Macaca fascicularis: one gene and its partners. The protein of the gene in region 3 interacts with the protein of the main gene of each other region in a biochemical or structural test. Links are inferred from orthologs where the notes say so. Each region holds a gene or a part of one and is shown on either strand. Other genes may lie near its edges.

Region 1 (3,653 bases), on a different chromosome or scaffold from region 3:
GCTGGGTGTATGTGTATATGTGTGTGTCTGTGTGTCTGTGTGTGTATCTGTGTGCTAGGTGTGTGTGTCTGCATATGTATCTGCACGTGTGCCTGAGTGCTGGGTGTATGTGTATATGTGTGTGTCTGTGTGTCTGTGTGTGTATCTGTGTGCTGGGTGTGTGTATCCGCACGTGTGCCTGAGTGCTGGGTGTATGTATACATGTGTGTGTCTGTGTGTCTGTGTATGTATCTGTGTGCTGGGTGTGTGTGTCTGTGTATGTGTCTGCACGTGTGCCTGAGTGCTGGGTGTATGTGTATATGTGTGTGTGTGTATGTATCTGTGTGCTAGGTGTGTGTGTCTGTGTATGTGTCTGCACGTGTGCCTGAGTGCTGGGTGTATGTGTATATGTGTGTATATGTGTGTGTGTGTATGTATCTGTGTGCTAGGTGTGTCTGTGTCTGTGTCTGCATGTGTGCCTGTGTGCTGAGTGTGTGTTGACCTACGGGAATTGCTCCTTGTCCAGAGAGCCTCAGATGAGCCTGTGCTGGGTGACCGGGGGAGAAGGTTTCCCTCCAGCACAGCACCACGTCTCTCCTCCCTTCTGCCACTCACCTCGGAGAACATGGGCAGTTTTTTGGCAAAGTCCACCACACGGGTGATGGCCGGGGTGATGATCTTGGTAAACTCGCTGAAGGCTTCCAGGTCCACCTTGTCTCCGTCCGGCATGGAGACGATGGGTGACTGGCCAATGTCATCGGGCTAGAGAGAAAGACAGGGGTCAGCTGGGGCTGCAGACCCCTTTCAGCCTCTCACTGAGGCTGCCTGCCCACCAGGGGGAGCTCCAAGGCAGCTTGGGGAAGAAGGGCCGCAAGTGCCTGAGTCCCAGCCCCAAAGCTTTTCCTTCACCTTGAGCAGAGGATAGACCAGAGCCAGAGTCAGCTAATAATAACAATGGTAACAACAGTAGTAGCAGCTATAATGACTAAATACTTAATATATGATCAGGCATCAGGCTACATGTTTTACATGTCTTATTTCATCCTGACCGTAATCCTAAAAGGAATAATTATAATAATCACCATTTCACAGATGTGGAAACTAAGGCACGGGGCAGCTAAGTAATAAGGTTAAAGTCATATGACCAGCAAGTGGTAGGACCAGGGTTTGAACTTGGGCAGTCTGACTGCTGACTGTTATACATCTGCTTGGAATCAGAGCCCATGCCCTTAACAGTGCACTGTGCCACCCTCTGGCATGCTCCACCATGAACCAGGAGCTGGTTTTCTGCCTTCCTTCACCACACAGAGTCAACTGTCCATCTCCTCCCAAACCGACCACTTTTTTTTTGAGAGAGGGTCTTGCTCTGTTGCCTGGGCTGGAGTGCAGTGGTATAATCATGGCTTACTGCAGCCTCGACCTCCTGGGCTTAGGGGACCCTCCTGCCTCAGCCTCCCGAGTACCTGGGACCACAGGCACACACCACCATGCCCAGCTAATTTTAAAATTATCTGTAGAGAGGCTGAGCACAGTAGTTCACACTTGTAATCCCAGCACTTTGGGAGGCCAAGGCAGGCAGATTACCTGAGGTTGGGAGTTCCAGACAAGCCTGACCAACATAGAGAAACACCATCTCTACTAAAAATACAAAATTAGCCAGGCATGGTGGCGCATGCCTGTAATCCCAGCTATTTGGGAAGTTGAGGCAGAAGAATCGCTTGAAGCTGGGAGATAGAGGTTGCGGCAAACCAAGATTGCGCCACTGCATTTCAGCCTGGGCAACAAGAGCAAAACTCCATCTCAAAAAAAAAAAAAAAAAATTATTCGTAGAGGCTAGGCATGGTGGCTCACACCTTGTAATCTCAGCACTTTGGGAGGCCAAGGCAGGCAGATCACTTGAGATCAGGAGTTCAAGACCGGCCTGGCCAACATGGTGAAACCCTGTCTCTACTAAAAATACAAAAATTAGCCAGACATGGTGGCGGCTGCCTGTAATCCCAGCTACTCAGGAGACTAAGGTGGCAGAATCGCTGAACCCAGGAAGCAGAGGTTGCGGTGAGCCGAGATCATGCCACTGCACTCTAGCCTGGGTGAGAGTGAGACTCCATACCAAAAAAAAAAAAATTATTCATAGAGGTGGGATCTCTGTATGTTACCCAGATGAACTCCTGGGCTCAAGCGATCCTCCCACCTTGGTCTCACAAATTGCTGGGATTACAGGCACGAGCCATTGCATCTGGTCCTGAACTAATCATTTACTTAGCCACTAGCTTGACCAGGGCCTAACACAATGCCTGGCACCCAGCAGGCACTCAAAAATACTGTGACATAACTGTATCCTTACCCTCTCCTCCCAGTCACTAGGGGCAGGAAAAAGAAGCAAGGTCACCCTTGCTCCCTGGAAATTCAATGAGGAAGGCAAGGCCCTGTCCTCATGGAGCTCCCAATTGGATGGAGTAGACAGGGTCCAGACAGCAAGGACACAAACGCAAGTGTATAAAATCTGGACAGCAAAAGTGGGAAGAGTATGTATTTTGGGTTGGATTACACTAAGAAGACTTCCTGGAGGAGACAGGACTCTGAGCTCACTCTCCTCTCCCTGCCACCTGGCTGCTGCTCTCCCCATGCCCCCTTTCTCCTTACCAGGAATTTCCGCCTCTGTTTCCAATGGCTGCCCTGGGCATTGGTGCTGCGATGGGCCTCTGTGGCAATGTGGATCAGATCCCACTCTTCAGGAGTGGGTTCTGGTCGCTGCTGCAGTGATCGGATCATCTCCTCCTTCCGCCGCCGCTCCCGGTTCTGCTCAATCAGCTTACGCTTGGCCACCCGCTTCGAGTCATCTAGAACCACTGTCAACAGATAGGCACAAGGTCCGATGCATGGCACCCTCCATCCCCTTTCCATAATGCTCCCGGAAACTATTCTTCCTAGAGTACAGGTTAGGGAAACCGAGGGCCATGGAGGCTAAGTGACTTCCCAAATCACCTAGCAGTTGGGCAGCACAACCTGGATCATGATTAATCCCCGGGACCATGTCAATAACAGTTTGGGCTGATCCAGATGAATATCATGTTCTGGTCTATCGGGTTATGGTGATGGTGGTTACTCCAAGATCCTGCCACCCAATCCCCAGCCAATGGAAAATGCCCTGTCTCATCTAGGAGTGGGGTGCCTTCGCTGGGAGTCAAGAACAATGTGCTAGAGTGGGTGCCCAGGAGCTCTTTCTACCAAACAACTCCTCTAAGGCCCTCGAGTGTTGTAAGGCAGGTAGGCACTGGGGCCCACACAGGGATCCTGTTTCCTTTGACGCAGGAAGAAGGGCAGCAGGAACCAAGACACTGAACCTTCTGCCCTCAGCCTGACCTAGACTGGATTGCCACTCTGCCCTGTGGGCCCTGAGGGCACGCTGGAAGGGAGCTGCCCTCCTGGAACTCATCCCCACCCCAGGCCACCTGGCTCTATTCCCCCCACCCGGGCCCCTTACAGTCCATGGCCATGCCCACGGCGATGCACTTCTTGAAGCGGCACAGCTGGCACTGATTTCGGGTGATCTTGTCAATGACACAGCAGCTGTCATATTTGCAGGAATAAGTGGGATGGAGGTTCTTCTGGATTGTGCGGCGAAAGAAGCCCTGGGGTAGGGGGAGATGGAGCAGGCTGTGATCATGACATGG
Region 2 (3,653 bases), on a different chromosome or scaffold from region 3:
AAAACCCATCTCTACAAAAAATTAGCCAGGCGTGGCTTCACACAGGTGGCCCTGAGGGCTCAGACTGCCTGAGGTACATCTGGGTCATTGCACAGCCTCCTTGAGACAAGGGGGAGGCTGGCAGTGGCTATGGGCAGGCAGCCTCCCCACCTCCAGCTGTCCCTGCACCAGCCCGTGTCAATCACTGGGCTCACTTCACCTCTCTGGTAAATCAAGCCTGAGGCGGGACCTTCAGACCGTCTCCAGCCCTGGGCATCCTCGACACCTCTACTGCCACTCCGGCTGCATCCACCTGGGGTTCTCCCATCCCTAGTCAGGAATCTTGTGTCTCCCTGTGCCCCCAAGGTGGGTCCGGTTAGGCCCCTCTGGTAGCTTCTCTGTGCCCTGAGCAAACTCTTCCTGCCCCTATGACCTCGTCTCACTCCATCCCCTAAACTTCAGTCACAGCTGGCCCAGACTGGCCACTGCCAGAAGGACTGGGCCCAGGTGGTCAGGATGGGCTTCTTGGAGGTGGGGACATAAAAGCCAAGCCCCACAAGACACGAAGGAGCTGGTGAGGGAGGGTCTGGGATCCAGCGTCTCCCCAGGCAGTGGAGTGTCCTCTGGACATATCTGCATGTGGGAATGCGGTTTGGAGGGCAGCGGAGCATTCTCAACGATGCATGGGCCACTCCTTAGCCAGGCTCCATGCCCCTGCCCACCAGGGCTCTGGGCGCTCTGGGCTGGTGTCACTGGAGTGGAAGCAGGGGCACGTACCGTTGGGTGTGGCGAACTGGATGAGGACGCTGTTGCAGCCCAGGGTGATGATGAAGGACTGCTTGCCCACGCGGCTACACTCTGTCTCTCGGGACACCGAGCACTTAAAGACACACACATCTTCATCTATGAAAGAAGATAGGCTGGCATGAGCAGTACAGCCCTGTCGGCTGCCTTCTTTTGATCCCGGGTCCCTGACGCCCTCCTGCTGCCTGCCGTTGGTGCCCCCAGATTCTTCCAGAGTGCCACAAAACCACCCTGGCAGCATTGCCGGGTGCGCTGCCTGCCCAGCCCACACTGAGGACAAGGGAGCGGCTGATCAGACAGCAGGGATACAGTCTGTGTCCTCAGGATGACCAGGGCTGAGACAGGGAGACGGTGAACGCTGAGGTGGGCAGACAGGGCCACCAGGCACGGTGCCAACCCACAGGGCCTCAGAGCTGGAGCTGCCTCTGCTCCACTCGGCTGAGCCCTTCTGTTCTTGGATGGGTGCAGTGCAGTGACTGCATGGGGCCAGTGTAGCCAGACCGCCGGGTTCACACCCCACCCATGCCATTTGTTCACTGTGACACAGGCAGGTCCCTCAGCCTCTCTGGAACTCGGGTTCTCACCGTCAGATGGGGCTAATGGCAGGGCAGTTGTCTAGTGAATTACGACACTGTCTCCCTGTACCCATCATGATAGCTGTTACTAGTCATTCATTCCACAAACCTGTGGCCATTCCACTCCAGCCAAATGGTGAAACTTAGCGATGCCAGGAACGGGCCGGCCCAATCAGGCACTGTGCCCCTGCCTGCCAGTGGGACAGGTGCATCATCTGTAGTATTCTTGGCAAAAATGTTTGACCTAGTCCCATCTTCAAGGGACAACAGAAAACTACAGGTTGTTGGGCAGGCTACAGGACAACCAGGCTGGTCTCCTCAAACAGGCCAGTGTCAGGAAAGACCAAAACGGTGGGAGCTATTCCAGAGTACAGGAGACAAGAAAGCGGGGAGTGCCCAATGCGATGCAAAGTGGGACCCTGGGCTGAAGCCGCAAGAAAAATGTTTTAAAAAGTTATAAAGGACAACTGGGGAGACCGGACCCACACCTCTAATCCCAGCACTTTGGGAGGCCAAGGCAGGAGGATCACTTGAACCCAGGAGTTGGAGATCAGACTGGGCAGCATAGCAAGACCCTGTCTACAAAAAAATTTTAAAATTAGGCAAGCGTGGTGGCGTGTGCCTGTTGTCTTAGGGACTCAGGAGGCCGAGATGGAAGGATCACTTGAGCCTGGGAGGTTGAGACTGCAATGAGCCATGACTGTGCCACTGCATTCCAGCCTGGGTGACAGAGCAAGACCCTGTCTCAAAAAAATAAATAAAGGACAACTGGGGAGCTGGACAGAGTAGCCCCCACCTGTGGTCCCAGCTACTTGGGAGGCTGAGGTGGGAGGATTGCTTGAGCCCAGGAGGTTGAGGCTGCAGTGAGCTATGATGGTGCCACTGTACTCTATCTAGTCTAGGCAACAGAAGTGAGATCCTACTTTAAAAAAAAAAAAAAAAAGACAACTAGGAAAATGTGAGTGTGGAATACATATGCCATAATTTTAAGTTACTTGGATGTGACAATGGCATTGCGGTTTTGTACAGAAATGCCTTTGTTCTTAGAAAACATATGTGGAAGGATTTATGGCAAATTCCCATGACATCAGCAGCTTGCTTTTCAATAGCCCATCACAACAACAACGTGAGTGCAAATGTGGCAAAAGTGTTCCCAATCACCCTGAATAGCCAAAACAATCTTGAAAAAGAATGAAGCTGGAGGATTCCCATGTCTCAATTTCAAATTTTACTATGAAGGTACAGTAATGTAAACAGTGTAGTGGTACTGGCAAAAGAATGGAGACACAGATCAATGGAACAGAATCAGAGTCCAGAAATAAACCCTTACACTTATCCTCAATTGATTTTTGACAAAGATTCCAAGAACATTCAATGGGGAAAGAATAGTGCCTTCAATAAACACTGCTAAGAAAACTGGATAACCACAGAGAAAAGAATGAAGTTAAACTCCTACCTCACACCATATACAAATAAAACAGAACTCAAATGGAGCAATGACCTAAACATAAGAGCTAAAACTAGAAAACTCTTAGGAGAACAATTTGCAAATCATCTATTGCTAAGTATTTAGTGTCCAGAATATATAAAAAAACTCTTTTAGGGTCAGGCCTGGTGGCTAACACCTGTAATCCCAGCATTGTGGGAGGCGGGCAGATCACTAGAACCCAGGAGTTTAAGACCAGCCTGGGCAACATGGTGAAATCCTGTCTCTACTAAAAATATATAAATATTAAGTCAGGTGTAGTGGCGTGTGCCTATAGTCCCAACTACTTGGGAGGCTGAGGTGGGAGAATCACCTGAGCCCAGGAAGTTGACACTGCAGCGAGCGGAGATGGCAACACTGCACTCTGGACTGGGTGACAAGAATAAGACCCTGTCTCAAAAAAAAAAAAAAAAAAAAAAAAAAGGTTGGGCACGGTGGCTCACACCTGTAATCCCAGCACTTTGGGAGGCCAAGGTGGGTGGATCACGAGGTCAAGAGATTGAGATCATCCTGGCTAACACGGTGAAATCCTGTCTCTACTAAAAATACAAAAAAATAATAAAATAAAATAAAATAAAATTGGCTGGGCACGGTGGCTCATGCCTGTAATCCCAGCACTTTGGGAGGTCAAGGCAGGCGGATCACGAGATCGAGACCATCCTGGCTAACATGGTGAAACCCTGTCTCTACTAAAAATACAAAAAATTAGCTGGGTGTGGTGCGGGTGCCTGTAGTCCCAGCTACTCGGGAGGCTGAGGCAGGAGAATCACTTGAACCTGGGAGGCAGAGCTTGCAGTGAGCCGAGAGCA
Region 3 (3,653 bases):
TATGCCAGGCTAACTTAAACAACTTTTTTTTCTTTTCTTTTTTTAAGAGATGAGGTCTTACTATATTTCCCAGGCTGGTTTTGAACTTCTGGGCTCAAGCGATCCTCCCACCTTGGCCTCGAAAGTGCTGGGGTTATAGGTGTAAGCCACCACACTGGCAATATTTGTTAATTTTTAAATTAACTTTCTATATGCTGCTATAATATAAGCTTCATATAAGTTTTTTAAAAAAATATAAGCTTTTTTTTACTTTCCTGTCTACTATTACATCTACATTGTGTAGGGGCATAACTGGCCCATGGTAAATAGTAAATATTTGTTGGAATAATGTGATCCCTGTGTCCACAAGCATATCTTTACTAACTGGTAAGGGTTATTGGGTCTGTGAGGTAGTCTTTCACTGTGTGAAGACAATTTTCTTAAATGGGAACTAGCACCAATCTCTAAAATCCACACACCTGTCAGGACTGACTATAACCAAACTTTAGTTTGGTTCCCTGGAGCCCTCTTCTTGACTATGCCTTGTTTTTGGGCTGGGAGCCCAATTTTAGCAAGAATCTGCTGAGTCAGTTTAGGGAGAATCCCCTTGGCCCTCCACCTTTGATATTTAATCAAGTTCCTTTTAGTAATTTTCCATTCAATGACTCCCCCATCTTCACTTTGTCTACTGGCTATAAACTCCCAACTGCCCTGGCTATATTTGGAGTTGGGTTCCATCTCTCTCCCCTACCACAATATTCTTTTTTTTTTTTTTTTTTTTTTTTTGAGATGGAGTTTTGCTTTCATTGCCCAGATTGCCCAGGCTGGAGTGCAGTGGCGCGATCTTGGCTCACTGCAACCTCTGCCTCCCGGGTTCACGCAATTCTCCGGCCTCAGCCTCCCAAGTAGCTGGGACTACAGGTGTCTGCCATCATGCCTGGCTAATTTTTTGTATTTTTAGTACAGACAGGGTTTCATCAAGTTGGCCAGGCTGGTCTCAAACTCCTGACCTCAGGTGACCCACTTGCCTCGGCCTCCCAAAGTGCTAGGATTAAAGGTGTGAGCCACCATTCCTGGCCTACTGCAATATTCTCGACCCCTACTGCAGTAGTCTCCAATAAAGTCTTCCTTGTCATTTTTAACAAGTATCTGCTGTCATTTCTCTTTAACATTAAAAACTATTTGCCAACTGGGCTTGTTTAAAAACACTTAGGGAATTTTCATTGCTCTCAAAAGAAGTTTCATGTGTTCTTTGCAGTGTGAAGGGTCAAAGAGAGGCTTTACTTGTCTCTGACTGAAGAATATGGTTTCTCTAGTATACAGAAGAATGAAAGAATGAAGGCCACATGATTTGTTTTTGTCGCCTCTGTAGTTGTGGCTATTATTCAATTTGTCACATTTATTTTCAGTTGTTCATGCGGTGACATTTTAAGGAATAATCGAAAACAATGCTCAATTCAAAACGACACGACACCCCAAACCTCCTAAACAAAAGCATGTTCAGCATATAAAACAGTAGTTTCCTCTCTGCCACATAACCAATATAATTCACATGCAGTCCACTCCTGACTCTGTCACTGACTTGCGATGATATGATTATACCTGCAACATCAAACTCGATTTCCAGTGTGACCTTGCTCGTGATTGAAGAGTCTCGGAGGAGCTGATTGGCTTCTTCGAAGGTGCTGTCTTCTGTTGGAATTCCATTGATGGCCATCACTCTGTCTCCAATCTGTAGCACCCCACATCTAATTTAGAACCACATGTGAGAGGTTGTAGATGGAGTAAATAATTACCAAGTTGAGCTTGTCAAATCTACCTTGCTTGATCCTTGCAAAATAGCATCATAATTTGGTCTTGCTTATTCAATGCTGTGGGCATCATATAGGTCAACTTCAACATCTTATGTTGTTGCATTTCATGGTTATAATTGTGAGCAGGGGAATCCTGAAGTATCCCAGAGAAGTAATTAATAATTCATAACCATAGTATTGTTAGAATCTGATCCAAACCAATATTTAGTAATGATGAATGTATATTCCCCAATGGCAGAAACTATTGAAGTTGAACTTCAGGATATGTTTTATTTATGAATTTTTCTCCTTTTTAATTAATATAGCTTCTAGTCCCTTGATGGACAAAATCTACTAGTTAAAGGCATCCATGCTCATTACTCTTTTCAAACCTGATCAAGAACATAGAATTTTATTGTCAGAAGAGGGTTCATCACATCTTGCATTTCCTACATTGAGCAATGTTTCATAATTCACTAGCCATTCAAAGATAGCAGGTACCAGAAACGCAGAGCAGAAAATGATGCTGTAAAAGAGTCTCACCTCTCTGCTGGGCTGTCAGCTTCGATATAGGAAATCAGAGGTGGAGAAGAGAGAGTTTCTGTGGCAAACACACTGCCCTGCAGTTGGATCCCAAATCCTGTGACAGGATCTGCCGTCAGCACAACCTCTGTGGTTTCTGTGTGAACAACCTGCCCAGCCAATCCCACTGTGCTGGAGGCTAAGGACACTAGAGGAACAAACAGAAAATACTGACTTTAGGTTGGAGCAAGCACCAGGAATACCAGCATTTCCAAAATAGATCGTGTCTCTGCATAAAAACTTAATGGCAAAGGTGGGAGGTTCAATTATGGCCTCTGGTTTAGCAAAAGTTGAAAAAGATAAGTGAATCTCTCAATATTCATCACATTTCAATAATAATATCAGTGTATCCCTGTACCCTGGCTCCCCACTCCTCAAACCAGGGATCATTGTGGGGGCTTTAAGAGGATGGCCTTAGGGTCAGGGTATGTGGGTTTTAGTACTGGCTCTATCACTGAACACCAGCTGGGGAACGTTGGGGTAGGCCATTTTGTGTCTCTGTGTGTCTACATCCTAAGAAAAAGGGAGTTGAGCTAGCTGGTCTCATGTTTTTTTCCACTTTAGCCATTTGCATCTGGGCTTTGTGACTTTTAAACAATCCTACCTTCAGCTTTGAAGAAATAATTAATCTAAATCTGACCCTTGGAGTGGTGAGGCTGTACTTTTCCTTAATCTAGTGTTGAATTGGCACGATGATGTTGTTTAAACTCTGTACATTCCTCCTGTCCCCTCAGAGTTTGTTCTCTTCAGCCTTGCTCTTTCCTACTGGGTCTCTAGTCTACGTTGTTGTATTTCATTTATTTCCTATTATTTATCCTATTTCATTTATCTCTCTGATATTCATCTACACCTTCCAGCAGATGTCTCCATCTTGTTTCCATTCCCAACTCATGAAAGGGCTGCTCCACTCCTCCATGCCTTTCTCTCAGCCCTGCCCACTGGAGCTGGGCCACCTGTGCTCTCTGTGAGCAGTCTCTGCCTGCAGGTCCTATGCTGCACTGCCTCTTCCTCCAGAAAGAGTCTGGCCCCCTTTAATTAAAACCTGATGACACCACATACCTCATAACCCTCTCCAAAAGCCATTTTTTTTTACTCTCTCTACAAATGGCAGGAAGACAGGTTCATAATTCTTGCTCTCCACATATGGTACATTGATTCAACTACTCCTATTTAAAATTCCATATTCTGTACTTATTTCTGCTCTGTCTCATTTTCAAGCCCATAATCTACTTTTTCAAAATTCTCCCCCTTTTCTTCATAACTTCAGGACTTACCTCTTAGTCTGCCTCTAACCTGTAG

Evidence for each region.
Region 1: the proteins of GRIP1 (region 3) and THRA form a complex in vitro, tested with the Homo sapiens proteins (2 studies listed by BioGRID). The link is inferred for Macaca fascicularis from reciprocal best matches to the Homo sapiens genes GRIP1 and THRA.
Region 2: the proteins of GRIP1 (region 3) and CARM1 form a complex in vitro, tested with the Homo sapiens proteins (2 studies listed by BioGRID). The link is inferred for Macaca fascicularis from reciprocal best matches to the Homo sapiens genes GRIP1 and CARM1.

Annotation. Positions count from the first base shown.
Region 1 is NC_088390.1:61,153,503-61,157,155, reverse strand, and holds part of THRA (thyroid hormone receptor alpha), read right to left. Parts: intron 3,612-3,653; coding exon 3,464-3,611; intron 2,829-3,463; coding exon 2,623-2,828; intron 742-2,622; coding exon 595-741; intron 1-594.
Region 2 is NC_088393.1:11,470,295-11,473,947, reverse strand, and holds part of CARM1 (histone-arginine methyltransferase CARM1), read right to left. Parts: intron 883-3,653; coding exon 757-882; intron 1-756. UniProt on the Homo sapiens protein: Methylates (mono- and asymmetric dimethylation) the guanidino nitrogens of arginyl residues in several proteins involved in DNA packaging, transcription regulation, pre-mRNA splicing, and mRNA stability.
Region 3 is NC_088385.1:73,224,024-73,227,676, forward strand, and holds part of GRIP1 (glutamate receptor-interacting protein 1), read right to left. Parts: intron 2,503-3,653; coding exon 2,316-2,502; intron 1,728-2,315; coding exon 1,582-1,727; intron 1-1,581. UniProt on the Homo sapiens protein: May play a role as a localized scaffold for the assembly of a multiprotein signaling complex and as mediator of the trafficking of its binding partners at specific subcellular location in neurons.